4 linked regions of the Diceros bicornis minor genome follow. The protein of the gene in region 2 purifies or fractionates together with the protein of the main gene of each other region. This does not show direct contact. Links are inferred from orthologs where the notes say so. Each region holds a gene or a part of one and is shown on either strand. Other genes may lie near its edges.

Region 1 (8,018 bases), on a different chromosome or scaffold from region 2:
ACGACTGGCTTCTGTCTCATGGCAAGCAGATTGTGCCCTTTGTGCGGTAACAAACTCACCCCAATTTTGATTTATAGATTGACTATGGATTATTTGCGTCACCAGCCCCCAACCATGGGGCAGTGCCAAGCAGCAGAGGTGTACTCATAGCACAGGCTTGGGGCACTGTAAGGGCCCCCATTCTCTCTCGAGAGGAAAGAATCCTTGACCAAAGCAAAGCTTTACCCTAGAACTTAGGACTCAGGATGACATGGCAGGAAGGGAACCAGACCAAGGTCACAAGACTGCTTGGCAGCCGCACAGCTCAAGCATGGCAGAATCTTTGGCTGTGTAATCAGCAAACACTTAGAACCTACCCCGTAACAGCGTCCTCACTCAGCTGCCCTGTCTGCTTCCTTCTGCGTAAAACAGGACACACCACTGCCCGCCTACCCAACAGAGAGCAGAATGACTGTCACCTCCCTGTATGTGACCACGCTGGGTGCCTGAAGCCCTCCCAAGACAGAACAACACAGGAGCCCACCACAACCCCCTCCCAGTCCAAAGGCTGGAAGTCCCGTCCCCTTGAGGCTGCCCCCGGGCAAGCCAGTTAAAGTATCACGTATTTGATACTCAAGAGAACAATCCTCCCATACAAATGCAAAAGAAGGTATTTAAATCCAAGTAGGAGAAGAATGGCTTCTTTATTTCTGGCCTCTGCCAGCTCAGCAAACAAAACCAACATTACTTTCTGGATTAAAACTCCACCCCCACCAACTATTACAGAAAACCACACTTACTTTTAATAATAATTTCTTTCTCTATCAAGTATGCCAAACGAGGGCCCGGAATGTTAAACTTCATTTGGTTCAGGAGTCGGTTCCTCAATGGGGCCATCCCCGACTCCCCCAGACACAGCTAGCCCTCCTCTCTACAGTGCCCTTCCTGCCTCTACACACTGGCTGGATATGGGGTTTCTGTCTGTCCTTCTCAATAGAACAGGGTTCTCTTGGGCTGTCTGGTGAAACCTATGCATGTCCCTTCCTTGGATAACACTTAAAAATGCATAACAAAATACACAGGTTCACCAAGGAAACCAAATATACTGAAACAGTTATCAAAACATTTAAAAAGCTTACTGGGATACAGTAATCCACGAGCTTTAAAGCATTAAATAAAGAGATCTAGCACCCGCTGTAATACCTACTGTAATTCTGAAGTAGTGATGAGCATAAATGATATTTTGGGAAACTCCCAACAAACGTAAAATGATATGAAAATATCTGTAATTACTGTTGATGACAAAAATCAAGGTACTGCTATTAGGCCTTTGCTTTGCTGCTTACATTCATAACTGGAGGAAATAATGAATTGAATCTAGACATTAGTGACCATAGGGATGTAAATTTATCATCTAAACTCAGGGACCTCTTGAGTTCTATCCGCCATCCCAGACTCCAGGTTAGGAGCCCCCTGCACTAGGAGGGAGCTTCGTAAGGTCAGGCCGCCCATACACTCAGGGTCAAGTTCAAAGATGCTTAGTGGGAGACACGGCTCTTCAAGTGGTAGGCCTCGCCTGCTTCTCCATCCTCAACTTCCTGCCACTGGGACTAATGACTTCTAATCAAGCTCCCATCCTGGGCACACAATGCCTAATGCACAGCTCCATCAGGTGGCACCCACCCAGGTACAGCAGTGTTCATCAGTCACCTTCCCTTTAACAAAACTGGAAGCTGCCAAAGGTGGAGTCTCTCTTTGTGCCTCTGGTACCTGACACAGTGCCTGGAACCCAACAGGCGCTCAGTGAGTGTTCACGGAATGAGTACTGTGTGCCGAGTACTGAGCTAGGTTGGCCCTGAGGATACCGAGATGGCAGCCTCAGTCCCTAACACATTACAAAATGAGATACCCTAAGTACTCGGTACCCACTCTCTTCCACCTCGTAAGTGGAAATCCAGAGAGGGCTGTCCAGCCATTCCTAAAACATGCTACTGCCCTCCTGCAGGGAGGGAAAACCAAGCCATCTTGACCCTATGCACCAAGTCTGGATAACAGACAGCTTTAAGCTGGAGGAGGAGATGACAGAGCAGATGAGAACCAAGATTACACCGGCAGACAGGAGCAGGCTGGAAGCTGGAGGAGGCAGGGACCCCTCAGCGTCAGCAGGGGCCTTCAGACACAGCTCACAGCCCACCCAGCAACCCACTAGCCATCTCTGAAGCCTCAGGGAACACGGGGCAGGGGGGATCCCCAATGTGTCAAGAGGCCCAGGTGAGGAATCCCGGAGCCCCTCTTACTCAAACCAGATAGCTGCAAATGCATCAAGAAGAAAATGCGTCTGTGAACCTGGAAAGTTTGGGGAAAATGTTATTTTCAACCACAAATTAGGCCAAAAGTCAATGCCCTGTACAGAAATGACACCGACTTGTGTGGTTTTGCATAATTAAAAAAAAAATGAGAGTGAGTCGAAGTTGAAAGAGCCAAAAATAGATATATAAAAAAAATCCTCCCGCGCCAGTCGCCACCATCAATGTAGGACAAAAAAATCTTCCAGGACAAGGTAGGTCAAAACCTGACTAGGTTCCAAAGACCGTGCACACATTTTCTCCCCCCGAGGCGAAGGGCAATGAAAAAACCAGAACTCCACCCCCCAGAAATATAAATAGAAACCGCTCCTTGTTTTTACAAACCGAAGGGGTCCACGAGCTCAAGAATGCATTTCCCGGGCTTTTCCTGCAAGATCAGCAAAAGCTTGCGGGAGGGTCCGCCCGGCGGGCCACGCGGGGGAGGAGGGGCAGCGGCGCCCACAGGCCCGGGCCGCCGCTCCGCTCCGCGCAAGCCCTGCCCCCTCCCCGGCCACGCGGAGGCCCCCGCCGCGCACAAAGCGGCCCTCCGCCCGCACCTGCACCATGATGGCCATCCGGAGCGAGTCCTTGGGGATGCTCTCGCTGCATTTCTTGCAAGAGGCGCGCCCGCTCTTGGCGTACTCGACCCGGTAGAGCTTGTCCGAGGCCTCCGCCATCCTCCCGGTCCTCGCGCCGCCGCAGCCGCGGGAGCCCGACGCCGCGCCCCGGAGCCCCGCCGCTGCCGCCGCTGCCCGCCCCGCGTGCGCGCGCGCCCGTCCGCCCCCCGCCGGCGCCCGAGCTCGCAGCGCCGCCGCCGCGCACGCCGCGCACGCCCCCGCCGCTCCGGGTAGATTGCTGATGCCTGGCCCGCCGCGGGAACGCCCCCCGCGCGCGCGTCCACGGGGCGGGGCCCCGGCGCGCGCCCCCTGCCGGCCCTGGCGTGCCGCCTCCCCGGCGCCTGCGGCTGCGCGCAGAGCCGGGCAGGCCGCGCGCGAGGAGGTCTCGGAGGGACCTGGTGGCGCCTGCTTAACCGTTTCGTCGCCAGCAAGGCTTGCGTGCTCTCACAACTAATTCCACCTCCATCCCTTTTAATAAGTGTGTCCTTTCTCCCCGGAGCGCGCCCAGGTCTGGAAGGCGCGCGGCTGGCCCGGGAATGTGGTTGCTCTGCTAGAGAGGGGTCAACGCTGGCTGACCCTCGGCGGGGGTTCTAACTACAGTCCGCAGACCTTCCCGACCGAGTACGAACTGAGCTCTAGCATCTCCTTCACTGTGAATTTTAAATGCATGGATGCAAATCCTGGGAGTATTAGCAGTACCTGTGACTATGTCGGCAGTAGTCATCACAGAGGTTTTCATGGCCCTTTACAGTTGTTGGAGAGAACTCAAAATATTAAGTTCATCGTTACTTGCAATTGCTGTCGTTACTACACCGTCTGGTACTAGATCTCGTTATTTAGTGTAGAACTATGTTTTTATATAACTGGTTTCTTTTTTTTAACCCTATGCATTGTATTTTATTCATTTAAAACATTATAACGGAGAGTGCTGTGTTTGAGAATATTCAGTTCTGCTATAGAGGACAAGAAAAGGAAACGGGATGAATGAGACTCATAAAACCTGTTAAGCATAGAGAAGAAGAAAGCTAGTAGCTTAAGAGACTTGGGTGTGGAGTAGGCAAGTGGGTTATGAGACACAGGCAGAATCCTAAATTCATGACCTGTTAGATATGTCGAAGGTAAATAGAATAGGTGGAATATATGATGGTACAAATAAGAATTTTACTTAGAGAGTAACCAAATCAAAAGGCATGATCATCCCACGTCTGGGTTGACAACTATGTCATCCCTAAAAGGCCTCTCATTGGTGATAACATTATGGTCCCGTTCTGGCTCCGTCTGATTTGCGCAAGAGTTACAGATAAAACCCATGTCTGTTCAGCAGGCTGACTGACAAACTACATCCATGTCCAGGCGTACTTGCCCCTGTGTCTCTCTGATAGGTGACTGTGAAGTGGCTCCAGGTACCCTCTATTGAGTAGCCTTGAGCGTCCTCAGCTCTGGTCTTCGTGACCCCATCATCAGGGGGGCTGGCTGATGCAGCAGAGAGAGAGAGACAGAACATATGGACATTCAGGTGGTATGGTCCTTCCGCCTGCCTGTTCCCTGTCCTGTGTGTGTTATCTGCCCCATGCTGTTCCCTTTGCTGCAGGAACTTTAAATCAGGTGTTTCAGGTGATTCAATAAACCTGTAATTCAAGCGTCTTAATTTGGTCTGTGAGGCTTTCTGTTTTGTGACTTCCGGGACAGCTTGCCTGATAGCGTATCTGGAAGCTACCATCGCATTAGAATTTCTTAGACCTCACTGCACCCGCAATGGGGTCCTGGGCAAACACACACAAGATTAGGAATACCTGGGTAGAATTTTAGGGAGAGCCAGCCATATCTTACTGCCTAGTCAATACTTCTGTTTGGGTGTCATATATGCTTCTCCAACAATGTCCAAAATCTCCCCAGTGCTTCCCATCTCAGGAAATGGTCCACGATTCTCCACATTGTGTAGGTCAAATGCTTTAGAGTCGACTTGACTCCTTTTCTCTTCCGTCCCACATCCAATCCATCACCGAATCCTGACTTTCCGACTTCAATCATTTCTCACCTCCTTCCCATCAGCACTGCTGTGGAGTGCCATCATCTTTTGCGGTTCCTCCACAGTCTCCTGCCTGGTCTCCTTCCAGGCCAGCCCTCCTACAGTCTTTTCTTCCCGTGAAAACACATGAGGTCGCTTTAGATCTCAACCCGTATTATTTCCATGTTCAAAACCCTCCAAACGCTTCTCCTCATACTGGGAATAAAATCCAAAGTTCTTCCTGCGGCTGAATCTGAACCCTGGTCACTTCTCTGATATCATCATCACCCTCTCCCCAGGGCTCCTGCTGCCCCAGCCACACTGGCCTCCTGCCTGGTCCTCAGACACCCCAAGCCCACTCCCACCCCAGAGCCTTTGCATTTATTTTTTCTGGAACAGTCTTCACCCAGCGAGCACACAGCTCACTTCCTCTCTTGATTCAGCTTCTGCTCACACGTTACCATGACCACTCCAGCTAAGATGCTTAGTCTCTGCACACTGTCTTTATCTTCTTGTCTTACTTTATATTCTTCTTTCTACTTCTTACTCCTAACAGCGTATTTTATACATATGCATGTGTTTATTGTCTGTCTCCCTCACCAGCATGCAAGCTCCTCCAGGGCAGGGGTTTATCTGTTCTGCTCTCTGTACTAGCCTCAGTGCCTGGCACAGTGCCAAGCATTCAAAAATATTTGTTGAATGAATGAATGAATCACACCTTTGACACTTCCTCTGCACAGCCCAATTGTTTAATAATAACGGTACTTCACACTTATATAGATTTTTGTATTTTATAAAGGGCATTCATAAACATAAGTTTGTTTGCTCCTCATTATAATGCTATGAAATAGGTTACTTTAAAAACTAATAAATGACTGTATTTACTTAGAAGCATTCAGATTGTCCACAAAACAGCTGTAACTTTTTATCCCCCAATTTCAGAGTGGTATTCAGTTAACAGAACAACAATTATTTCATACAAGCTGCGTGAGAGACAATTGAAGTTGATAAAACTACCATGCCCATGTATAACAGATTAGTTAATCTGTACTGTGCACCAACGAGAACCTGCTTTGAACTCCTAACCCGCATACTATATCCCCGGTGAGGTTGGTGGCTATTGAAAATACCACCAGGTCAGGGTTGTCTAAAGAATTACTTGGTAATTCTTGTTAACAATATCAAAAAAACCACAACAGTTTAAAAACATATCTTATACAGCTTTATCTTTCAATTTTTATTCTTTAAAGGAATGAATTATGGAGGTTAAATGCTTAATGGACAAGAAAGAGAAAGAAAAGCTGACCTAGAACCACCTTATTCTTCATCATCATCGTCTTCAACTCTGTCGTCTCCATCTTTCTCCTCCTCATCCTCCTCTCCTTCTCTGTCTTTCTCCTCTACCTTTTTTTCTAGTTGTGAGCAGCCTTGACAGCATCCTTTTGTGCCACATCAGCTTTCCTTTAGCTCAGGATGCAGCAAGATCCTTCCTTCTGCTGAACGGCCTTCTCAGGCTGCTTGCCATCTGCAGCGCTGTGGCTCATGTCTCTCCCAGGTTCTTTTTTTTTGTTTTTGTTTTTGTTTTTTTTTGTGGGGAGGACTAGCCCTGAGCTAACATCTGATGCCAATCCTCCCCTTTTTTCTTGAGGAAGATTGGCCCTGGGCTAACATCCGTGCCAATCCTCCTCTACTTTATATGGGACGCTGCCACAGCATGGCTTAGCAAGCAGTGCGTCAGTGCGCACCCAGGATGGGAACCTGCGAACCCCAAACCGCTGCAGCAGAGCACGTGCACTTAACCTCTGTGCCACTGGGAGGGCCCTCTCCCAGGATCTTTACATCATTGCCTACGGGCAGGCCAGGATCCCCTTTGATTCTTGGCCGATCCTTGGAACACACTGAGGAAACGGCCAAAGGAGTCCTTTTGGGTGCATTGGAAACCCTGAATTTTTTGTTTCTGCTTTAGAAGGGATACAAGTTTTCATTCTACAAGGGCTCTTGTCCACTCTTGACGTGTCTCCAATTTCCTTTCTCTTTATCGGACAAGGCTTTCCATTTTTCTGACCATTTTAAAGAACATCCTGAGAAGCTGACTGAAACGTCTGGATGTTTTTTCCTGTGCTCCTTCTGGCAAGTTTGCGCAGAATGCCTGTGATGACATTTTGCCTCTAGGCTTCTTAGGGTCTCCTTTGCCTGTGCTTAGTTATTTTTCCTCAGCGAGGCACAGAGTGGCCCAGTGCCCATCAGCTCTCACTTGCCTTGGCAATGTCTCTAGGTAGGTGTTTTTAAATCCCAGTTTTCAGATAAGAACATGAAGCTGGAAAGGTCTAGGGACTTGCCCATTAAGCCTTGTCTGCTTCCTCTCCTGACCCTTCCAATCCCTCCCACTGCCATTGTCTTCACCACTTCTCCCCTCAGCATTATTCTTCTCTCCCTTTTCCAACACATCCATTGCCAAAGTTTTTTTTTTTTTTTTAATAAATTTGATTATGACTTCTACCCTGCTCAAAACCCTCTGTTGAACTCCTGTATTAAAACTCCCAAAAGAGAAGTTTTGGGAAGGGATACGAGGGTATCTAATAGAATAGAAGGAAGAATCAACCAAGTTATGGGAAGGACTAAAACCTGATGGACTGTAGAGATGAGAGGACCCAGGGACTTAGATGCCTCTAGGACTGTGTCTCTGCTTCTTGTCTCTGCTTTTCTCTGCAGCATGTTTCCCTCTCACGGGAGACTGGCTTCTACCACACGTGGCAGAGATCAAGGCCACCGATGTTTCCCGACCTCTGTTTCTTATGGTTCTTACCACCAGGGGGGGCTTTTTTCTTCAGTTTTACTTAAGACGTTCCAGCTAAGAATTCTGATGAAACCAGGGTGGGTCAGATGCCCACCCCTGGATCATTCAACAGGGACCAAGAGGTATGTCCTGTAAGAACATGGGGGCTTCACTACAGACATGTGGAGAAAGAGGGGGAGAGGCAGACAATAGTCATTCCATTTTGCTTAACCAGAGATGGACAGCTGGTGGCCTGAGGCCAAATTCGGCCCACAGCGTTGTCTCCAACAGGC
Region 2 (8,086 bases):
CTTCCCTCTCGCCCTTTTCAGCTCTGTAAGAAAGTAGAGATGTGCAGCTTTTAACTTCTTCATACTAGAATCAAATATATAGCACAGTGGCTAAGCTTGTGAGCTTTGGAGTGCCCAATTCACTACCCTTGGGCAAGCTAGTAAACATACCTAAGCCTCGGTTTCCTCACCTATCAATTGGAGATAACAGAACCTAATTCATAAGAGTCCTTCCGAGGATTCAATTAGATGATCCATGGAAAGAGCTGAGATTCCTTTCTGGTAGAGAGTAAGCATTCAATAAATATTAGTAATTACTGCTATTACAAGCAAACAAACACATTCTAAAACTCCACATAGCCAGTTTACTTAGTCTCTATACAAGTGGCCGTACAGATCAATAACCTACCCAGCCCACAATCATTCAAATACTCAATAGTTCCTTTGTATAATTTAGCTGAGAACCATGGAGGTTAACTTTCCCAGGAGAAAGGACTAACCTTTGTTTCATTACTAAATACATTACCTACTCAGCCCAGCTTGAAAGTTAAAAGAACACTTTTTCTGTATGAAGATCCTACCTTCCTCCAAGAAAGGTCAAAAGGACTTCTTACCTCCTCACCTGCCACATCATTTCTCTGCTCACACATCCCAAAGAAACATATCTATACTCTTGCTGGCTTTCTGAACTGCAGGACCTCATCTCCCTCTTTTAAAATCCTGATAGGTTGGCTAAACACAGTTAAGAAATACTCCAACCCCTGACACTCAGCACCTAGTCTTGCACAACACCAAGCTCAGAAGTCACCTTCTGAGAAATTTCCCCACCCCCAGACAAAATTAAGTCCCCTAGTTTCCCAAAGCATTCTGGGTATATATATACCCCAGTACCTACCTTATAATTAACTAATTACATCTCACCCAATAGACTAGATAGAAGACATGAGCAGCGTTGTGGCAGAAGGTTCAGCTCTAGCACTAAGCACAGTGCTTATAACATACTAGGTGCTCAAGAAACGCTACACTTGAACCAGATTCTTTCCTCACAGAGTACCATCTCCCACTGGATGCCCCACTTCAAAAGCTGAACATAAGGCCGCTCTCAGTAGAGCAGGCTAACACGATGGACTGCTGATTACAACATCAGAAAACCTACTCATCAGCTTCTCCCATTGGAGACGTTCCCGGAACCCAAACTCAATTGAGCAGGATTATGTACCATCAGAATCAGTGGGAATTCCCAGCACACTAGAGAGGGTACCTTCTCCTTCAACAGGATTGTTGAAAAGCCCACAGGGTGAGCTTTTTATTGGGGGAATCTTCATTGGGTAACTGAAGTGGAAATACTCAAAGAATAAATGCCTTGATTTGGCTGAAAAGGGTTCAAAGACATAAAGATCCAGGAAAAGCAAGCTAGCTCTCTATTCCTGAAAAACAGCGGCTTCTGAAAAAGAATGAACAGGAAGCAGGGGTGGCTGCTGGCCACTCTTTGTTTCATTAAATAAAATCTTTTTTCCTTCCCCACAGCCCAAAAGAAAACGCCAGTACACCAGGTCCAGACGAGATGCTCAACAACCCTTCCTCCTGACAAGTACACTAAACTGCGTTTCTAAAAAAACATTGCCTTAGGAACCTCAGCAACATGAAAAGTTCTGGTCAGTAATACTTTTATTTAAAAAAAAAAAATCAATACGCCCCATTCCAACATTTACACTGGATGGCCCATACAGAACTCGCAAACTTTTTGAAGAGAGGTACAACTACCTTTGCAAAGAACACAACTTGGGGAAAACAACCTCAAAATATGAAGAACTCCACAGAGGGTGGCTTTCGTTTTAGAGCCATAATTCCTATCATAAGCATCTTACCAAAAAAAAAAAAAAAAAAAAAATCAACAGTTTGCCGAAGGGTATCTTTCATTCTGGAAACAGAAAAGGAAACCAACAAGAAGCAGAAAGGGAATAACCCCCAAAATAAAGTTCTCTTCGGGAAAAACAGTAACAATTGAGTCTCCCACCCTTCCCTCCCGGGTGAGGTCTGTGATTTACAGGGCTCTGCTCGGCAGAAAGCTCTTTCTGGGCAGCTCGAGGAAGGAGCCGAGGGAGGGAGAGAAAGACAGCCACAGAAAGGAGAGGAGAGAGAAAAAGAAAATGGCGCAGAGACTAAGTCCCGACTGTCGACAAGGCGACTTTCCCGGGAGGAATCCGGGCCCGGAAAGGCCGCCCGAGGCCCGGCGGCGGGCGACGCGGGGTCTCCGTTGCCCCCTCTGGGGAGGGCCGCGATCTGGGGGCGCTGGGGTCCCCGGAAAGGGGGTCCAGAGGCGGCCCGATGGGAACAATGGGGCCGGTGAGCGAGGAGCCGGGACTTAGTCTCTGGGACGCCATGTCTGTCCTCTGCCCGGCTCGGGCAGGGCGCGGGGTGGGCGGCCGGCGGCTGGGGGGCTCGGGGTCGGGGGCACACTCACCATTCAGTCGGAAATCCCCTTCGATCTGGAGAGAGAAAAGGAGGGAATGTGAAACAACAAGCACAGGAGCCCCGCGGGCGGCGAGCGCGCGCGGCCGGGGGCCTAGCCCACCCCGCGCCCCCAGGGATGAAGGGGCCCCCGGGCGGCCTGAGGGGGCAGCCAGCCCCCCGAATTGTAACTTGGCGGCTTTCGCCTGGGGTCCAGCGAGCCGATCTCCTCCGGCCGGCCGCCTCCGGCCGGGGGCTCCGGCCTGTCAAAGCGGCCGGGCCGGCGCCGGGGCCAGGGCCTGCGCCGGGGGTCGGGAGCCTGGGCCGGGCCGGGCCGTACCTGAGAATCGTTGTGGAGATGGTCCCCGCTCATGTCGGCCGGAGCGGCGAGCGCGCCGGGCGGCGAGGGGCGCCGACGGGATGCGGACGGTCGGGACCGGCCTGTGCAGGCGGACGGGGGCTCCGGGAGGCTCCCGGAGGCGTGGGTAAGCGGCGGCGGCGGCGGGCCCGAGATTCCCGGAACGGCTGAGGCGGCGGCGGTGGCGGCGGCGCTGACTGACTGCCTGGCAGGCGGAGAGAGCAGACCCCAGCAGTTGTGTAACAGCCTAAGTTCGCATTTCGGCCCACTGCGCCTGCGCGGCCGCTTTTAAACGGGACGTCGGCGACGTCAGAGACTCGCGGAAAGAGGCCGAGGGTTGCGGGGCCCGCCCCCTCGCGCTTCCTGAGGCGTACCCGGCTTTGCATCGAAAGCCCCGCCCCTAGCCCTCGCTCTCTTCTGTGATTTGCATAAGAAGCCGACTCCTCCCACGGCCGCCCACCCTCAGCAACCTTCCCTTCCTCTCCCGGCGCCTTTTCTCGGAACTCCGGATCCCTCTGATAGGCAGTGCGCAGGCGCAGCGGGGACTCCGCCTCCGGACCGTGGCCGGCAGCGCGGCCACGTGGTGGGCCTTTAAAGGCCGCGGCGGGACCGCTCCAGGCCCGGGCCGAGCTGATATGCCGCCTCTTGGATCGCTTGAGCTGCAAGTAACTTGACAGCCGGGGCCCCAGAGCTCTCACCAGCTCTCCTTAGCTCGCTAACTGGACCCTGAGGCCGCTTGGCAGGAGGAGCCCCCGCCCCAGCCTTTGTCCAGGCCTTCCAACTTCTGGATTATTTCTCGCCCACTTCCTAAAATTTATTTTAATTTTTCAACCAACCGAAGGTCTGGTTTAGCTCCAGTTTTCAGCTGGGTACATGTAGCCCTGTGTCACATGAGGCCTAATTTCATTCGTTCATTCTACATACATGTATTGAGCCTCTACTGTGAGCCAGGAATTGTGCTGAGAAAGGGGTTGGGGCAGGGGGCCAGAGGAGACCGGACCTCGGGGGTAAACACGACTTGGCTCTGTCCATCGCTGTATCCCTAGCATGCTATGGGGCAGAGGGGAGATGAAATGAATGGAGAAAGAGCTGCCGTTTGTGGAGCATCTACAGTACTCCGCTCTGAATGCACACAATGGTTCTGAGGTCGCCTATTTTACTAAAGTTAAACTGTGTCAGAGATGTGACCTACAACCTCGTACCTGACATCTACACTTGGATACCTCCCAAGCTTTTCCAGGGCCAAACTCATCATCTGCCTCCTCCACCCAGCTAGGAAAGCTCCACCCTGGACATCTTCGTCTTGCTTGTTTCTCAGTGCAGCTGATGACATCTCCTCAATCGATCATCTATATTTCCCCACTGCCCACATGCCTGAGCAAGTCTGCGTTATCTCTTGCTTGGATTATTACAATACACTCCTAACAGAGGTCCCTGTTTCCATTCTGGCCCTCTCACAAACTGCTCGCCAACAGAAGCCAAAGTGATCTTTTCAACATGCAGATCAAACCATTATCCCCTTCCTGCAATACTTCCCATCACTCTTAGTACTAAATCCAAAATTCTTGATGTAGGGGCCAGCCCCCTGGCTTAGCGTTTAAGTGCGCCCAGGTCACGTCCCGGCGCACACCGAGGCACCGCTTGTCTGGCCATGCTGAGGTGGTGTCCCACATACAGCAACTAGAGGGATGTGCAACTGTGACTTACAACTATCTACTGGGGCTTTGCAGAGAAAAGGGGAAAAAAAGGAGGAAGATTGGCAATAGATGTTAGCACAGGGCTGGTCTTCCTCAGCAAAAAGAGGAGGATTGGCATGAATGTTAGCTCACTGCTGATCTTCCTCACACAGGCAAAAAAAATTCTTGATGTAGCTGCCAAGGCCCTGCATAACTTTCTTAATTCAAGTGTGACTTTTGTAAATTTTGCCATATCTATTACCACTTCCACTGTTATTACTTAAAATTAAAATTGATCTCTGTATTTGCCTTCATCCTAATATCTATGAATAATAATGTCTATGAAATAATTTACAAATAAGAACAGTATTCATCCATGGACCATTGAAATCATCTCTCTATCACATCTCGTGGTAAACACTCTGGGGTTAATTCTTGTGAATGCTTCAAAGCTCAACTTAAATATCACTTTCTCAAAGTGACTCCCCTCCAATACTCCCTGACTCCCCTTTCCACCCAGATCAAATGCCCCTTATAGAGTGTCTTTTTCCTTTGTAATGCTTATCACAATTGTTATTAAGTTACTAATGGGGATAATTAGTGATTTTATGTCTCTCTCCCCTACTGAATGCAAGGTCTGTGAGGATGGGGACCTTGTCTATCTTGATCCGCAGCACCCAACAACAGATGCTACAGAAGAGGTGTGCAATCAATGAGTGAATGACAGCAGGAGAATACAGTGGTTAGGAGCATGCACATAGAAGTCAAACCAATCTAGGTTTGAATTCTACTCTGCTATTTATTAGTTGCGTGACCTCAAGCAAGTTGCACAACTTCTCTAGCCCCAGTTTCCTCCTCTAAACAATGGTGATTATAGTGGAATTTTCACAGAGTATCAAAAAAGAAAAGTAGTTGCTTGAGAACACATAACTAATAAGTGCTGCATTTTGGATTCAAATTCAGGTCTGCCTGACTTCAAAGCTATGCTCTTTCTCTCAAGCAAGCTGCCAGAACCAGTTTCACCTTACGCTTGGTGTCTTTCCTCATTGTCTTCCCATCTCAGAATAATCCCAGGCCAGCAGGTGAGGCGTGTGGTTCCTGTGTGCTTACTCCAGTTAGGCCAAGATAATTTGAGGACTGCCTTAAGGAATAACAGTGCCTCCTACGACTACTCCACCACCACCCCCAAAGCTCAGGGAGAATCTGTATTTGCTTTCCAGCTATCTCCAAGGAAGATCTGGGTAAGCATGAAAACAGAGCACAGACTCCAAAATGGCGTACCAAGCATGGTCCTCATGCACAAACATGCAGGTATCCAGGCGTCTAGTCACAGGCTGAGCTTCTCTGCCAGCATGTGTGGCAGGCAGTCCTCGGAGGTTGACTGGTTCCCCAAGCCCACATGGCCACTCTTTGACTCCTGACACTTCAAACCAGTGTCCCCACAATATGGGCCATCCACCCCTAGTGCTTGAGAATATTGTAGGTAATGCGTAGACAAGCTTTTATTTTAATCGTTATGTATATATTTCCGTGTGTATGAGAAAAAAAAATTTAACCACCACATCAAATCCATGATTTTAAGGATGTAACTGTTTAGGACGAGGCTAAAAAAAAAAAGTTGGCTCATCGACTTAAATAAAAATATCAAGAAATAGCACAGAGGGAATGTATAAGAAACTCGGGGAAGGTCACAGGCAAATAAATGAGGCTTGGGAAGCCCTACTTTAAATCAAGACTGCTCTCTCATGGGTCATCCCAACCCCCATAAAAATAACTAGCAGATGACAGCTGATGTTGTAGGCCTGTTTCCAAAATATGCACTGTGAAAGGTGGACGATTTATAGATATTCCACTAAAAGAAGGGCTCGGTACAGAAATACATACATTGTTGCAATTTAAAGTTAAACAGGTCTTTTCTCACAGGACTTCTCAGAGTCATCCATATGCTACTACCTACATAAATCTTAAAAACAGGGACATAGCATGCGGCGTCTCCAAAATGTACGTAGGCCCAGAAACGGTTTTTTCCACACTACCTCTTGACACTGAGCTATTTGGAATGACTGGACCTCAGGCCGCCTGATTTAGGTGGTCGCCCAAGATCCAGCCCCGACTCGTTTGCGTCTAACTCTCTTGAAATTGTTCTTATCACGTTGGCCCAACTGTTGGCTCCCAGAACTGAGCACCTATGGGATTGTCTGAACAACTTCTGCTTTTCAGGGACCTGTCCTCTGTACAATGTGCACGAACGTACAAATATGCTGCTGTCCCTCTGGCCACAGTCATTTGACCTAAGCTGAGCCACTCAGATCGACTTCCATGAGACTTTGGAATTGAGAAGGAGAGAGTGGTTTGGTTGCTCTTCTTCGGGGTTGATCTATAGTGTGTAAATTAGGGAGCTGTCCTAGCAATATTTTCTGCCAAAAGGGCCAGAGAAGGCTGAGGGGAAGGGAAGGGAAGGAAAGGAAAGAGAAGGCCCTAATGGAGTTCAGGGTCCTGGTTCCTGCTATCTCCTGAGGCCTTATTTCACTCCTTTCCTGTACCCTTCTATAAATTCCCCCTTTTGCTTTTGCTCTGATGGGTCACTTAAGACCAAGAGCTCTGATAATACTCAGTGCTAATCTATACTTGATTCCTGGATATTCTCAAGGCCTCTGTTATCCCTTTGGCCCCAGCTCTCGGCCCCTCTTGTTATGGCACATGGGTGCCCCTCCTGGCATTTTGACCTTGGATGCTGGCACAGTCTCGACTTTGCCAATTCTTGGACAGCGGTGTCTTCTGGCAGTTCTCCCTGCCTAAGGACCTGCTGCCCTTTTGAAATTTGGACACCCTCAGAAAAGAACCCACTTGACGCCCCAGAAAGGAGACTCAGGCTGGCAATCCCAGCAACAACCAGAAACACCCTTGGCCTGCTGGTAATGAAAGAGCTCAGCAAAGGTTGAAATTTGTGGAATAAAAAGAAGAGAACAGGAAAGATCTCAACCCTTGAGTCATGGAATGAGAGGACAGACAACAAGGATATAAGAGCATGGCCGTGTGGCTCAGGCAAGGAGGGGAGTCCACTTTCATGTAGCTCCTTTGCCTTCCTGCCAGAAGACATCTTTTCTGTGATGAGGACATTTATTCATTCAACCAATATTCCTGAAGGAATGAGGGAATGGGGACTATGAGGTAGATAGATACTATGCTAAGCCCTGGGGATACAGATATTAATAAGACTTAAACCTCATTTTGGAGGAGTTCCTAGTCTGATAACAAGATAGAAATATTCCCCAACTGTTACTATAAGGTACAAGGAATAACAGGGAAGAGGTGGCCAGCCACCAGTTGCTATGGGAACTCTGGGGTGGGGGAGGAACATCCAACTCACTAGTGGTGGTAGCAGGGGCAATATTATGAAAGGCTTACAGTTGGATGCCATCCTTGAAAGATGAGGAGGGGCTGGCTTGTGGTAGAGAAGGGAAGGTATCTGCAAAAGAAGAGCAGACTCTGCAAAGGCAGAGATTCATGGGCATGAATAGAGTCAGGATGGTCAGGATGGAGCAGAGGGTAAATGTGAAGAAACACCAGAGAATGAGGCTGGGAAGGTGGAGAGCACTCTCCTAATGACAGTGGAGCTACT
Region 3 (7,624 bases), about 14 Mb from region 2:
GCATCTTCACTACACAGCTATACTCTTGTTCCTATAGAACAAAAAAAAGTTGCTGGAAATTAAAGATTTGTCACCCTCACTTTCTGAAGAATCAGCATCTAAACAAGAACTCAGGGGGCCAGCCCAGTGGCTGAGTGATTCAAGTTCCGCACGCTCGGCTTCAGCAGCCCAGTTTTGTGGGTTCGGATTCGGAGCATGGACCTATACCACTTGTCAGCCATGCTGTGGCAGGTGACCCACATATAAAAAATGGAGAAAGAATGGCACAGATGTTAGCTCAGGGCTAATCTTCCTCAAGCAAAAAAAAGAGGAGGATTGGCAGCGGATGTTAGCTCAGGGTGAGTCTTCCTCAGCAAAAAACTCAAAAACAAACAAACCAAGAACTCAGAATTTAAGATTTTCTGATTTTGAAAAATATCACTCATTGTGCAATTCCCTAACACAATCTAACCACTCAAAAAATAAATGCAGATATAAATACATATGTTATAAGAAAACAAATAAGAAGTTAAACCTTTGACACTAAATGCACTGTCCAGGGAACTAGAGCCTCCCTGTAATAACCCTCCAGGGCTAAATCAAGAGGACATTAGAGAACGGCATACAAACTGCAAACAATGATGGTGCAAGCAGGCCTACCTGCCTCCCAAAACAAAACAAGAGAATATGATATTAGATATTTTATTTATTTTTTTGTGAGGAAGATCATCCGTGAGCTAACATCTATCACCAATCCTCCTCTTTTTTGCTGAGGAAGATTGGCCCTGGTCTAACATCCATGCCCATCTTCCTCTACTTTATACGGGATGCTGCCACAGCATGGCTTGACAAGCGGTGCGTCAGTGCGTGCCTGGGATCCGAACCCTGGGCTGCCGCGGCGGAGCACTCGCACTTAACTGCTATGCCACCGAGCCGGCCCACTGATATTAGGTATTTTAAACATCCCAACACCTCTTCTCTCCTTTGACATTGATAAACCTAGTCTTAACAAAAACCAAGCATTCTAAGGGGAAAAAAACATGCATGGAGGTTAATGCAAATATGCACACTTGGCAGCAACGAATTCAACAAATGATCCATTTTAGAGTACTGTAGTATAATAAAATGACAAATGTGTCAGTCTAAATACTAAAACCCCACTTTGGAACATGCATCAGCAGATATATAGAAAAAGTTCTATTAGGAAGTAGGCTTTAAAATTATTATATTAACATGTGTAACTATCATGGCTATGTACAGTACACTCAATCAGAAACTTTGAGGGGCTGGCCCCGTGGCCTAGTGGTTAAGTTTGGCATGCTCCACTTCAGTGGCTGGGGTTTGTGGGTTCAGATCCCGGGCATGGAGCTACACCACTGTCAGCCATGCTGTGGCGGCAACCCACATACAAAATAGAGGAAGATCAGCACAGATGTTAGCTCAGCTACCATCTTCCTCAAGCCAAAAAAAAAAAGAAGAAGACTGGAAGATTGGAAACAGATGTTACCTGAGGGCAAATCTTCCTCAGGAAGAAAAAAAAACAAACAAAAAAACTTCGATACTCACTGGAATCCCAAGTTGTTCAACATCTAAATCCATCAACTTCATTTCATAGTCTGAAACCTTTTCTTGATCTACCAAAAGAAAGCAAATGTTGAAGAAAAGCATGTAAGTTTATAACTATAATGTAAATTTTACAAGCATCATAAACATCATCTTAAATTTCTCACAGCTTTGAGAAATACTGACACATTTTAATTTTCTCTAGCATAACTCAGTAGAAGAGTATGACTTACTTGGAGCTTCAAATACTAGTGCCAAGGTGTCTGCATTATCTTCAGCCCTTAGGGTAATGATGTCTTCATTGCCAGCACATTTTAGTATTTTGGACATACTAGAACGCAGAAGACACAGGGTTTAAAATCGACACCATCTTCTCAAGATCATTAGATTTCTAAGCAATTAAAACAAGGAATTACCATTTTTACCCATTAGGCTGTCTGATGAATTCGAGAGTGAGGTAAATGTACTGCAGGAGGATGTAGAAACCGTTCCAGCCCTTTTGAAATGCAATTTGGCAGTATTTGCACTTAAACTAAAAAGCCCACACCGTACCACCAGCAGTTTCATTTCTGGATATAAATAAAAGAGCAATATTTTCTGAATTGCAAATCTCTTTTAGTGGGTGAAGTAAATTATTGGGCCGCGATGACCATTATAAACGATCTAATTAATACACCTATTAAAACACACTGCATGTAGCATGGGTAAATATTTCTCATAAGCTTTTTACAACTTAAATATGTGTATGTGCTAGACAGTGACCAAAAGTTGAAAGCCACTGCCCTGGAGAAATCTTTCCTCAAATCCAAGACCTTGGGTGCTCACTGCAACTTTGTAATAATAAGAGACCAGCAACAACCTATTGTCCCTAAGTAAGGAGACAGGCCTAGAGATCGTTATAAAGCGGTTAAAGTCAGCCGGGACCAAGGTTTCTCATCCAAGGCCCCCGGCACCCAATGACCAAAGAGCTCTGGAACAGTCTTTTCCTGGCACCGCAGAGAAGCCCGTCATTTTCCCGCCACCACCGCTTTGTGACTTTGGCGCGGAAAGAGCCGGTTCGCGCGGCCGCCAGCGCGGGCTTTCGGAACCGCGCGCTGCGCTGGGTCCCGCCCCCCAGCACAGCAGCCCAATGACAAAGCACAGATGGCCCACGCCGGCCAATGAGGACCCGGCTCGGAGGCGCTCCCGCCAAGAGCTGGGGTCGCGGGGAGCAGGACCGGCTCCCCGCCGCCCTGCGGCTCACCTGGTGAGGTTCACGCCCATGGCCAGGTTGCGGTCGCAGCGGTACGTGTCGAAGCCCTCCGAGCGCAGGGTGAGCTGCACCAAGGAGACGTGGGACGAGTCCATGCTCTGCAGGTTCACGCCGCTCGAGCTGATGTCCCAGCAGGCCTCGTTGATAAGGTCCTTAAGAGCCTCCAGCACCTTCTTCAGGATGGAGCCCTGGACCAGGCGCGCCTCGAACATGGTGGCGGAGTCGCAACGAAGCGGCTACAGTCAAAGGAAAGGAGGAAGGTGTAGCCGGCTTAGGCTTCACAGAATGAAAGCAAGCGAGCGCACGCAGCGGCAAAAGCCCGAGAGGGTGGAGAATCACACGCCTGCCCCGCCTGCGACCGTTTAACACCGCCGCGTCTGCGAACGCGCGCTCTCTGCCCCTGCGCCCCTTGCCGAGGCGTCACCACGCTGCCCGCCCACCGTCTGGGTGGAGAGACTCCGGGGCCAGTCGCGTGCCTCCTCCGCTCAAAGCCCGCCCACCCCGAACATCCATTGGAGGATGAGGGGGTGGAGGCGGGAACCCAGCGCCTCCCCGGGCCAAGAGGCGGGGTCAGGCAGGACTCCCCGCCTTTTTGTCCTGTTCCGGAGTCTGGACGCTGGACGAGTCCGGGCATAGTGAGGGCCAGGCCCGGGCCAGGAGTTGTTGAGCGTCAGCTTTATGGTGCCTCCTCAACCTCTGGCTTTGGGAATAAAGAGTTTCCAGTCACGCAAGTGAAAGTGAAACACAAATCCAGCCTACCGGGAGGAAAACCCGCCTGTAGCCTGAAGAGAACAGCTGCTTTAAATGTGCATTTTATTATTGCTATTATAGAAGTCACGCGCTCCTAAAAGTCCAACGATAAAGAGGTGTACAGTTATGATAAAGTTATGATAAAGTTAAGCCACATACCCCCCCAAGCTCATACCATGCAATCGGTGCTTTTATACTGCTTTCTAACCTTTTTTTCTGTACAAATACATATTTTTAAAAACAAAAATGGGTTCATCCTGTTAACACTTCTGCAATGTACTTAATAAAGTATGTTTTATGCCACGTTCATCTGTTTTGTATCAGTATCTTTTTAAAAGATGGCATAATATCCTATGTATGTAACCTAATTTACGGATTTCTTGTAATTACGAATACCTTTGGGCACTTAGGTGATTGTTCTGAGCTCAACTCCTTGAAGTAGTATTGCTGGGTTGAAGATCATACATATTAAATTTTGGTAAGTGTTACTAAATTGACAGCTAAAATATTGCAGTTTATGTTCCAGCCAAGACTGTGAGCATACTCATTTCCCCTTATTTTCCTAACTATAGATATTAGCAATCTCATTTTTAAATTTGTGCTCATTTGTGTGAAAATTTCAATTTGCATATTAAAAATTGTTACAGGTTGGACCTCTCATATATTTCTTGACTATTGCATGCTTATACTTTTTCTATTGAACTTTTTCCTATTGATTAAAAGGAGCACTTTATATATTATATTAATCATTTCCATATTATATATATCCCCTTGTTGTTTCTCTTTTGCTTTGATTACAGCATTTCCTTTTAGTTGCGGTTGATATCTTATCTTGGTCTGTAGAATTCTTTAGTTTTTCTACCATATATCTAGGATTTGGTTTTATTTATCCTGTTCAGGGAATTTTGTGTTCCTGAATAAGAAGATTCATGTATTTCATCATGTCTAGAATATTCTCAACCATTATGGCTTCAAATATTGCCTTTCCTCAGTCTTTCCCTCCCTCTGGCATTGCTATTAGATGTGTCTATTTCATTTAATTGAAGATACCTTCAATTGCTGTTGTTTGTTTTTTTGCTACTGAGTTGTATGAGTTCTTTATATGTTTTGGATATTAGCCCCTTATCAGATATATGATTTGCAATTATTTCCTCCCATTCAGTAGGTTGCCTTTTCATTTTGTTGATGATTTCCCATTTGTAAATTTTGATACTAGCACTTTCTTGCTGTATGTGTGATCAGTTATCCTTTTGCATACATCTATATATCAAAATATAACAGCTTCATCTTTTTGTGAGTATTTTCCTTTCTTAGGTCTTTTAGAGTCTCCATTCCTTTGCAAAACATGGAATGTGTTCATTTCTCCAGTGAGGAACATTCGCTTCACTAATAACAAAGGTATACTCTGCTACTCTGTTTCTGTGCTTTTTGCTTAGATAATGAAATTTTGGTTTAATGCTAAGTCAAAGTGTAGTAGATTTGAAGACATTTTAAATGGCAATTAAACTCCACCCATGTGGTACCCACAATGCACATGATCAATTGAAATGAGGGCATATGAATGGCTATGACCTGTGGTCAGAGAAGGCCTCTCCAAGGAGGTAGCATTTTACCAGAGAAGCTAGCTATTTGGAGAGTGGAAGAAAGAGTATTCTAGGCTGAAAGACTAGTATGTTTTAAAAGGACAGCATGCTTAGAAGGGGTTAAGATAGTAGTTTTAGATTTCAAAGATTTTGAGGGGATATGTTTAATTGAGATATAATTGGCATATAATAGAACTCAAAGATTGGTGTGTCTGGGGCCGGCCTGGTGGCGCAAGTGGTTAAGTGCGGGTGCTCCGCTGTGGCGGCCCAGGGTTCGTGGGCCCGGATCCCCGGTGCGCACCGTCGCACTGCTTGTCGAGCCATGCTGTGGCGGCGTCCCATATAAAGTGGAGGAAGATGGGCACGGATGTTTAGCCCAGGGCCAGTCTTCCTCTGCAAAAAAAGAGGAGGATTGGTGGGCTCGCCCGTGGCTTAGTGGTTAAGCGCACGTGCTCCATTACTGGCGGCCCCGGTCGATCCTGGGCACACACCTACGCACCGCTTCTCCGGCCATGCTGAGGCCGCGTCCCACATACAGCAACTAGAAGGATGTGCAACTACGACATACAACTATCTACTGGGGCTTTGGGGGAAAAAAGGAGGAAGATTGGCAATAGATGTTAGCTCAGAGCCAGTCTTCCTCAGCAAAAAGAGGAGGATTGGCATGGATGTTAGCTCAGGGCTGATCTTCCTCATAAAAAAAAAAAAAAAGGGGGGGGGCCGGCCCGGTGGCGCAAGCGGTTAAGTGCGCGCGCTCCGCTGCAGCGGCCCAGGGTTCGCTGGTTCGGATCCCGGGAGCGCACCGACACACTGCTTGGCAAGCCATGCTGTGGTGGCGTCCCATATAAAAGTGGAGGAAGATGGGCACAGATGTTAGCCCAGGGCCATCTTCCTCAGCAAAAAAAGAGGAGGAATGGCGGATGTTAGCACAGGGCTGATCTCCTCACAAAAAAAAAAAAAAAAAAAAAAGATTGGTGCGTCTGGAACACCATTGAACAATAGGAAGAGTGGTGCAAGATGAGGTTGCAAAGAGAGGCAGGGGTGAAGTCTCATAGGACTTTGCAAGCCCTCTAAATGCAAGGGAAAGTTATCCAAAGAAGGTCTTTGATGTGATCTAATTTGTTTTAAGAGATCACTTTAACATCTGGTAAAGGTACTATTCCAATCAGTGAGAGAAAGAATGAATTAGGTAATTATGATGAAACAGTTGGTAAAACTTCTAGGAAAGAATAAAGCTATAGATTCTTCCTAATAACTGTTCACTGAAATAAATTTCAGATAGATTAAAGAATTAAAATTCAAATAAATGTAAACCCAGTAAGAAATGGAAAAGTATTTTGGTAAATATTTATGACATCTTTCTGTGAACATCTAAACATAAAAAGAAAAACCTGTCAAACATAAAGAATGACATACATAAGTTTTAAAACTTTGGTATGCTTAAGAGAGCTGTGTTGGTTAGTACACTTTATTTTTTTTATAAATTCTAATCATTAGTTACTATTTTTTATTTATTTATTTTCCCCCCAAAGCCCCAGTAGATAGTTGTATGTCATAGTTGCACATCCTTCTAGTTGCTGTATGTGGGATGCGGCCTCACATGGCCGGAGAAGCGGTGCGTCGGTGCGCACCCGGGGTCCGAACCCGGGCCACCAGCATTGGAGTGCGAGCACTTAACCGCTAAGCCACGGGGCCAGCCCAGATAGTACACTTTAAATTTTCATGACAGAGAACCCAATTCAAACTGATGAAGAGAAAAGGAAAATTTATACATCTCAACAAAAGCCAGAGGTATCTGGCTTCCAGTGTCCAAGGCCCAGTCTTAGTAAATGTATGAAAAAATGGTTAGCCATATATTTGTGTGTGTGTGTGTGAGGAAGATCAGCCCTGAGCTAACATCCACGCCAATCCTCCCCTTTTTGCTGAGGAAGATTGGCCCTGGGCTAACATCCGTGCTCATCTTTCTCTACTTTATATGGGACGCTGCCACAGCATGGCCCGACAATCAGTGCGTCGGTGTGCGCCCGGGATCCGAACCCAGGCCACCAGCAGCGGAGTGCGTGCACTTAACGGCTACGCCACGGGGCTGGCCCTGGTTAGCTGTATTAATAGGCAAAGAAATATAAATTAAAGGGAGATAGAATTTTAACATACTGTATAATAAAAATTGTGTTAACACCCATTTATTAGGAAGGATTCAAAGAAGTGGGCGCTTTCATGCATTGAAGATGGGAGTACAAATTCGTGTGACTTTTCTAGTGGTAATTTGGAAATGTGTATGGAAAGCCTTAGAATTTTGTTTATTCTTTGACACAGAAGTTCAATCTCTAGACTTTTTTTCTAAAGAAGTAACCAGAGATACTCACTAAGATGAAGCATGTTTAAGAATGTTTCTTATAGAATTATTAACAATTCTCCTGAAATTGGAAATAACCTTGAGGTCTAAAAATATGGTCTTTGTAAGGTAAATTATGGTAAATCTGTAAGATGGAATACT
Region 4 (8,011 bases), on a different chromosome or scaffold from region 2:
TTAAAAAAAAAAAAAAGAAAAGCATTTACATCTTTCAAAGTGAAGATGTCTCCCAAGACGTTACGTTAAATTGATGAGCTATCACTCATAAACAAAGACCAAACAACTTTAGCACCTAACTGTAAAGCTTTGCAATCAACAGCATACTTAGATTAAACTGTCAAATCTCTGGGAGGTTCCGATTCCTCCTCGAAAGGGGTATTCTCAAAGCGAGGTCTGCCAACCAGCATCACTTGGCACTTAATTAGAAATGCAAATTCTTGGGGCACAACCCAGACTCAATCAGAAACTGGTGGAGAGCCCAGCAATCTGTTTTAAATAGCCCTCTTGCTGATTCTGATGTCAGCTCATGTTCAAGAACCACTGTGAAGAGTTTAAGATTGATATAAAATAAATCCAAGAACATTATAACCTATCATAATAAACGCACCAAGAGGATAAAAAAATCCTATAGTAATCCTTCTTCCCTTTATAAATCCCAAATTTCCAATATCTAAGAAAATCCATGTAGTTATGCTACATCTAATAGCTCTGGTTCTCACCATGGTCAACTCTCTAGTAAACCTAATACGTACAAAACCATAATCTTCCCTGATCCCAATGAGAATGAATGAGTATACATATAAAGTATGAGCAAATACTATTCCCCAAAAACTACTACTAATAAAATTACTTGAAGACTAAAATACTGATATTAAGGCAGTTAACAAAAATTACTATTATAAAAAAACTGCTTTTAATAATAAAATTATTTCTGTATACTTTTCAGCCACCCAGCAACAAATAACTTGAGTTATAGAAATCAGCAGTTAACAAAGGTAACAAGTCTAAACCCCCTCATAAGTATAAAACTGAAACCCAGAAAGTTTAACTGATTTGCCTGACACAGCTAATAACCAGCAGGGGCTAAAATCCAGTTCTCTAACTCCTAGGCCAAAATTCTTTCAACTGTCACACTCCCCAATTTACATCCCACACATTCACCAGTTAATATAATTAATCTTAAAGATTAGAATAACTAGCTGTTTTGGAGTTTATTCCTTGCTTGTTTCTAACAGCAATTCCATCCAAAACAAAGGTCGCATACTATGTGAAACCCTCTAGAGACCTAATGACAAATACATGGTATGTTTAATTCTCTACAGAAGGAATAGCAAACAGGACACCAAGCATTCCCCTGGCATGAGTATGGGAAACACACAAAAAGGTCAGAAGACGTGCAACTTAAGTCATCCTACTTAAATCCTTCCTCTCCAGCCAACATGAAAATGTTACTAATGCCCACCTATTTGAAAACACATCTAGAATTGTTTCAGATATTAATCCTGTGGCCACATCATTCCAGATGAATATTACCTCAAAGGAACTGTTACCTTGGTACATGCCGATCTCAAGGAACCCATAATTCTAACACCTTAAGGCAAAAAAAAGTGCCCTTCAAATAATTTCAACTCTTATCAATAATTGTTCTTAAACATTAATTCCTTACATTTCTCTTTATTTGCCAGCAATATTTTTATTAAGTCTATGATCTCCTGAATTAACCAATCACTGCTCTTACCTCATTTCTAACAGTTCTGCAGAGGGATAAACTTTAATTTTAAGCCCATATAATAATATATATGTTTAGGCTTAAAAAAATATAAAGGCAACGCCTTTAATCCCCATCACAGTATCTACACGGTGAGGGATCAACAAATGCATAGCTATCTATAATAAGACTACTTTTATTTTCTATCAAGTAGACTTGTTTCCTAAGGGATGAATTTATCCTGCAGTGTTGGTTTAAACTGTGCTTAATAACATAAGTTTTTGTGAGAATTAACACACTAAGAAAAATAAAATCAATGAAATCTTACACCAGGATAAAAAAAGCCATTTCTCAGAAAAGTGAAAGGGGTGCTATTTAGAAACCTATGTAATTTTTATAAGCTTAGCAAAAATTTTTAATCATGTTTCAGGACCTTGCAAATACTAGGCACTATAATACGTGCCTAAAACTATTTAGTCATGCATTTTTGTTAAAGTTTAGATGGTCTGGAAAATTAATATGAGAATACCCTGAAAGTCAAATTTTAAGTTTATCAGGACGTTACATTAACAACAAACGCAATTCTCGTAAATATTTTTCCCAAGTGCAGTTTGGGAATTTCCAGTTACCGCTAGTGGTTGCTGTAACTAGGACCTCGTAAACATCCAGATAATATACTACTTTTAGCACCTAGTATTCCAATAGGTGGGTAAAACCACTTGACTATCGTATGTGATCAAATTCCTTACCAGTTTCACTGATTTAATACGACCCTGGCAACCAACACTCTTACGCCTCAGTTTGTCTGAGAAAGACAGTAATACCTACCTCAAGCAAAGTTCCACTAACTTATATATTTCAAGTGATTTGTAACCTGCAGATAAAAAGTAAGCCAGCTTTAATTATTACTGTTAATATGTAAATGAGATTACAATATTTTTTAAAAATAGAATTGAAAATAACCATTTCGAGGTCCATCTTTTGCTCAGGGAGGAATAAAATAAAAAGCAACAAAATGTTAAATCTATTGTTATAATATTCGTTATTCTTACGCCCTGCGGTACGCTCCAGGATTTACAGGCCTGCGGCACAATATGTACTCTGCAACCCTCCCCCAACCCCCGCCCAATTTTTAAATTTAACAGGAAACAGCGGTACTACATTAACTTCAACTATATCAATGCGCATCTCGATCTTTCCTTCCACGATCTCTCTTGGAGTCCTCATGGTTTTAGAAAAGGAAAGGAAAGCAGCCGTTAACACAGGGAGCGAAAAAGAAAAAGGACGTTTTCCCTGCGGATCGTGGCCTAGAGGACACTAGGCTAAATCTACGCAAGCGCTGAGACCTACAAAACTCTCTCCAGCATAAGACACAATCCCCCAGTGCCAACAGAATAAACCGGGGCCTGGTTACTCTACCGAGGGGAAGGTTCCCTCGTCTCCTCTCCCGCACACTCTCGCGCTCCCCGAGGAACCCAACGCCTCCCTTGCTTCCGCCCCGTCTACTTACCAGGAGGGGGAAGGGAGAAGAGATTCGATTCTGAATCTCCTACCCCCGGGTTCTACGTGAAGAAGCCGACTGCTGCTCGAGGTCGGCAACGCGGCCGCAACCGGTTCGTCTCTTCACAAAATGGCCCCCGAGCCTCCTCTGCCGCCGAGGAGAAGGCCTAGCCCCCGCCCCACTTCTAGGAATCTTCCTATTGGCTGCGACTTTTCTCGCTCCCGCTTCTAATTAGACAGTTCTACCGCTCTTCACGATTCTGCCCAATCACAACCAGTAGTGGGTTAGACTAAGCAAGAGAATTTCCACATGCGTGAGAGAAGCTAGTTTGTAACTGGTTGTTTTTCCTGTCATTTATCGCCTGAGAAATGCTTATTGGCCACTGTACCTGACGAAGCGCTGGGTAGAAGCTCGCCTTTGTATCGCGCACCACTTCACATCCGGGTATCTGGAAGGTCTGATTGGCGGCCACGGTGTCCTATCTCTGCTCTTTAGAGTGCCTGCTAGAAGGCTCGCCCAGATCTCGGAATTCCCGCGGCGCGGGGGCGGGGAAGGAGTCAGGGGTTTTGTTAGGTAGCAGGCCTTGAGGCTCTGCCCCAGCCCCGGGCCTAGGAAAAATGAGACGCGCAGAGTGAATCCTCCGTCGTGCGCTGTGGATAAAGAAAGGACTTTTCTTGGAGTGGGGAGGGAGCAGTGAAGACTAGGCCTAGTCTTGTGTGTAGAAAACTAACCTGCCCTGCCGTTTTTCCAACCCTAGATCCCTTCTCGGTTCTAGACTCAAATGTCAGCTCCCTCCTGGACAACTCCACTTCATAGCCTGTCGGGCCCTTCTTCAGAAAATCCATATCTCACCTAAACCAACTGACTTCCTAATTCTTCTCCACTACAAAAAGTAAAGAAAGTCTAAATTCCAATCTTGGAATGCTACAGCGCCCATCCTCTGGCCCAAGTCATCTCACTTACTAAAACCCTACATGCCCACTAAATAGGCTTCCCCCTCTGTCTCTCTCCCCAAACAATCTGGTCCCTTAATTCTTTTCATCCTGAAATGGCGTGTTTCCCATCTACTCGTCTGGGTCGTCGCCTGCCAGGCTCTCTCGTTGTATTAGCAGCCATGAACGCAATGGAATAGGACCAGCTCTACTAAGAATGAGGCAGATTTCTCTGTGCCATTAGGGAAAGCAAAGTGCAAAACACTGTCTAGATGATGTGATTCCATCTGTATGTAATAAGTAAGGGATATAAGTGTATGTGAATGCAATTTTATGCATTAGTTTTGAATTAATTCTGAATTCCAGAGCGATTCACGAGGGAGCTGGCTGTTACCTGTCAAAGGACAAAACTAAAACAATTTAGTAACGAATTTGATGTCCTTTATTCAAGGGAAAACAATCCATGGATTGGGAGAAGGCAGTGCCTCACAAGCAGTGGAGCACTCTTGCCGAGGGCAGGAGCCAGGTTCATGTAGCATCAGAAGCCTCACGCGGAAACAGGCGGAAACAGCATGATCGGCTGGGCTTGCGTATCTGACCTTATTTAGAAAGATCAAGGAACACGGAAATAAATACAGTACATAGCCCAGAGCTGGCTTGGTATTTGAGGATTGGATATACTGCGTTTCTGGTCAACTGGAGCGTTTACAGGAACATGAAAGTTCGGTTTGCTGACGTGTCACCCAGCATGAGAGTCTCCATCTTGGGCCTAGAAATTTATTTCAAAATACCTTTGGGGAGCGAACCTTCTACCTTTTTCGATGGTATGCCTTTCTATACTGTTTGAATTTTTTCCCATATGCATGTATTGCTTCAAGCTAATTTAAAAAGCAAAAACAGAAAGTGTGTAAGAAAAAATATACTAAAATGTTAGTAGTGGTTCTCTCCTGGTGGGACAATTACATGTGCTTTTTTTTTTCACTTCCTTGTGCTTTTCTATATTTTCCAAATCGTCGACTTTGAACAAGAAATCAGAGAGAGAACATTCTACAAGTGCTTGAAGCCTCAGCTCAATTGCCCACATTGCAATTTATTTAAAACTACTTCAGAGCACTGTGGTTAATTTTACACTCATCTCTTCTCCGCTCCTGGATGGTAAGTTTTTTGATGGCAGAGTTTAATTTTTATTCCTCTCTGTATTCCCCTTGCTTACTACATATCACAGGGCCTTAAACAGAGATTGTTTTAAATTTGTATTAAATTAATTAATTATTAACTTTTATTTGTCAGGGGAAATTGCTATTTTCCCAGGACAAACAAGTACACTGTCCTTTCTTTATTATATATTTTGTATAGCACTTAACTCAGAGGGACCCGGAGACTGTGAGGCTTGGTCTACGTGTAATTCATGTAATTCTTGACTTAAGTAAACACAAATAAACACTAACATGTTTTATTACTCATTGTTCTCATAGAATAAAAATGTCTATAAAATGTCAATGAAAACCACTTATTTCATTTTACCAGAAATCAGTTTTACTGCATGATCATTGTCATGACCTACTTATTAACCAGCACTGTATTTGGTGCAAGAGAAGTACTTAAGAGACAGCATTTATGTTTTCCAGGAGTTCACTCCTATGCTAGGTAGGGTGAAAATGGAGGATACATGAAGAATTAACAATCAGTACCTCTGTCAAGTAACTTAGAGTTTACTAAGGATGAGAAAACTAGTGCAAAAATAGCATAATACAAGGCAGAACGCTAAGCACCATGTTGATAGCAGACATTCATGACAGTGGTTTTAAGGCTCTGTAAACCTAGGTGGGGGAGATGGAGGGAAGGAAGTTCCGTTGATCTCTTCTGCTTACTCTAAACACCTTTACAGTTCTAAAGGTGAATGCTTCTTCTATTGGGTGGCTGTGTAGAGTAGAAAGACAGCCATTAGCCAGACTCCAGGAGTGGAGGGAGAGAGAAGGAAGAGGTAAGGAAACAGAGAAGAAGTTAACTCCTTACCTTGGGCTAAAGAGAAAACAAAACAAAACTGAACTTTTATTTTTAATTCAAGAAGTAATTCTATTTGAGGAAGGCTTTATGTGGCTTGGGCGTTTTACCAGAATAATGTACCCGCTGTAACTTCTCTCCTCCCAATTCCAAGCCACCTGTCAAGAAGAAGAAAGGAAAAGCAGCAATAGCTATGAAATGCCTAATATTAATATTATTATATTAATAATATTATAAAGATATTACACAATACTTTCAAGACCCTTACTCTTTTACTGCATCCTGTTTCTCCCACCTTGAGTCTGTCCCTCAAGCTGATCCTGCAAACTGCTGTCATGGTAATCATCTGAAAGCATTCACTTTCACTGTGTGACTCCCACACTACACTCCTGTAATAGCTCTCTATTCCAGTCCTACGTTTTTAATTGTTTCATTCACAGCCCTTCCCTGACTGTCTCATTACCTGTCAGTGTTCTCCACTCCACAGGGCCCTATGCCTGGGCAGCCCCTGCTGTCCCCACTCCAATGGGCCACATTGCTGTTCTCTTTCCCCATAATCCAACCATTCTTTAAAACCCAACTCAAGTCCCAATTAATGCTTTTAAAGAATACATGATGATTCATTCAACTGCTTATTTAATCAACCAATACTTTAGTGGGTTTTTTTTGACTTTAAGTATTTTATATACTCAAGGCATTGATCTAAACGTCACAAAACTGGATATAACTTAGTTCCAGTTCTCAAACTTTGCACCCCTTCTCAAACTCATTTCGTAGTCATTATTTATCCCATAACAGGATAGCACTGTTTTGTTCTGTAATCCTTTTGTTTATGGACCCCAATTTGTGCTTGGTGTATGTGTATGAATCACAATATTGAATAGGTTGATTGTTTGACTAGTTATCTGACATAGTATTTCATTATACCTATTTCTGTTTTCATTCCAAAAGCCTTTGGCAGTGGGTAAAATCATACTAGGGAAATTTGGAATACAGAGTCCAGTGAATAGATTACTGATGATCTGGCTTCTAGAGTACAGATTCTATAAAAAAGATTTTACACATTGTTAATAAAATTAGTCATCACTTCGGTTGCATACACACCTTCTCAAGGCTTCCAGTGTGTTTTTTCTTTCTTATTATTTTAAAGCTTTCCAAATGGAAATATCCTATTTGATTTTTTTCTGATAAATATGTGATTATTGTAAAAATTTGAAATACAGAAAAAGTGAAAATCCCTATGTGATCCATTCTCCAAAAACATCCATTTTTAACTATTTGGTATAGATGTTTACAGATTTTTAAAAAATGTATATATGGATTTATTTTTACCTAAGTATTATAATCTGTAGTCAGGGACTTTTAAATTTTTGTTTTAATAACCAAAACACTGAGCTTAAAAATTAAAAAATAAAAGAACAAGCAAAAAATCTTTATCCACAAAGCTTGAAAAAATTAGAAAGATTAAAGAAATTCTGAATCATGACATCCATTTAGTGGTTTTGGGGTTGAGTAGTATTTGACTTTAAGTATTACTGGTCACCCTCATATTAATAATAATAAAAATAATAGATAACTTTTATTGAGCGGATATCATGCATCAAGCACTTTTCTAAGTATTTTACATGAATTAGTTCATTTGGTAATTTTATTATTCGCATTTTAAATATGAGGAAACTAAAACACAGAGAAGTTAAGTAATTTGCCTAAGGTAGCACAGCTAGTTGTTAATGGAGCTAAAAATGCTAGGAAGTCTGATTTTAGAATGTGTGCATATAACCATTACAAGTTATTAATAATATAAGTTTTGCAAAGGTGGAAAAATCCTACTCATTTATTTAACAAATATTTATGAAGTACGTGCTATGTAATAAGCATTATGCCAAGTTCTGTGCCAGGTCACAGGAACATAGAAGTAAACAAAATAGACATGGCCCCTGACCTTCAGAACAGAGTCAAATACTAAATGAATAATTAATTAATTGCTTAAAATAAATTTTATTAAGTGCTACTAAAGATAAGTATAGAATGCTATGGACCTGT

Evidence for each region.
Region 1: the proteins of TOP1 (region 2) and PARP1 purify together in Homo sapiens (affinity purification with mass spectrometry; 4 studies listed by BioGRID and IntAct, with this or other methods). This does not show direct contact. The link is inferred for Diceros bicornis minor from reciprocal best matches to the Homo sapiens genes TOP1 and PARP1.
Region 3: the proteins of TOP1 (region 2) and PCNA purify together in Homo sapiens (affinity purification with western blotting; 3 studies listed by BioGRID and IntAct, with this or other methods). This does not show direct contact. The link is inferred for Diceros bicornis minor from reciprocal best matches to the Homo sapiens genes TOP1 and PCNA.
Region 4: the proteins of TOP1 (region 2) and HNRNPC purify together in Homo sapiens (affinity purification with mass spectrometry; 3 studies listed by BioGRID and IntAct, with this or other methods). This does not show direct contact. The link is inferred for Diceros bicornis minor from reciprocal best matches to the Homo sapiens genes TOP1 and HNRNPC.

Annotation. Positions count from the first base shown.
Region 1 is NC_080777.1:7,604,520-7,612,537, reverse strand, and holds the start of PARP1 (poly [ADP-ribose] polymerase 1), read right to left. Parts: upstream 3,051-8,018; 5' UTR 3,002-3,050; coding exon 2,882-3,001; intron 1-2,881. UniProt on the Homo sapiens protein: Poly-ADP-ribosyltransferase that mediates poly-ADP-ribosylation of proteins and plays a key role in DNA repair.
Region 2 is NC_080758.1:19,539,288-19,547,373, forward strand, and holds the start of TOP1 (DNA topoisomerase 1), read right to left. Parts: upstream 3,022-8,086; 5' UTR 2,804-3,021; coding exon 2,771-2,803; intron 2,469-2,770; coding exon 2,444-2,468; intron 1-2,443. UniProt on the Homo sapiens protein: Releases the supercoiling and torsional tension of DNA introduced during the DNA replication and transcription by transiently cleaving and rejoining one strand of the DNA duplex.
Region 3 is NC_080758.1:33,278,493-33,286,116, forward strand, and holds the start of PCNA (proliferating cell nuclear antigen), read right to left. Parts: upstream 3,175-7,624; 5' UTR 3,007-3,174; coding exon 2,786-3,006; intron 1,874-2,785; coding exon 1,776-1,873; intron 1,614-1,775; coding exon 1,546-1,613; intron 32-1,545; coding exon 1-31. UniProt on the Homo sapiens protein: Auxiliary protein of DNA polymerase delta and epsilon, is involved in the control of eukaryotic DNA replication by increasing the polymerase's processibility during elongation of the leading strand.
Region 4 is NC_080744.1:28,066,057-28,074,067, reverse strand, and holds the start of HNRNPC (heterogeneous nuclear ribonucleoproteins C1/C2), read right to left. Parts: upstream 3,162-8,011; 5' UTR 3,042-3,161; intron 2,406-3,041; exon of another isoform or gene 2,360-2,405; intron 1-2,359. UniProt on the Homo sapiens protein: Binds pre-mRNA and nucleates the assembly of 40S hnRNP particles. Interacts with poly-U tracts in the 3'-UTR or 5'-UTR of mRNA and modulates the stability and the level of translation of bound mRNA molecules. Single HNRNPC tetramers bind 230-240 nucleotides.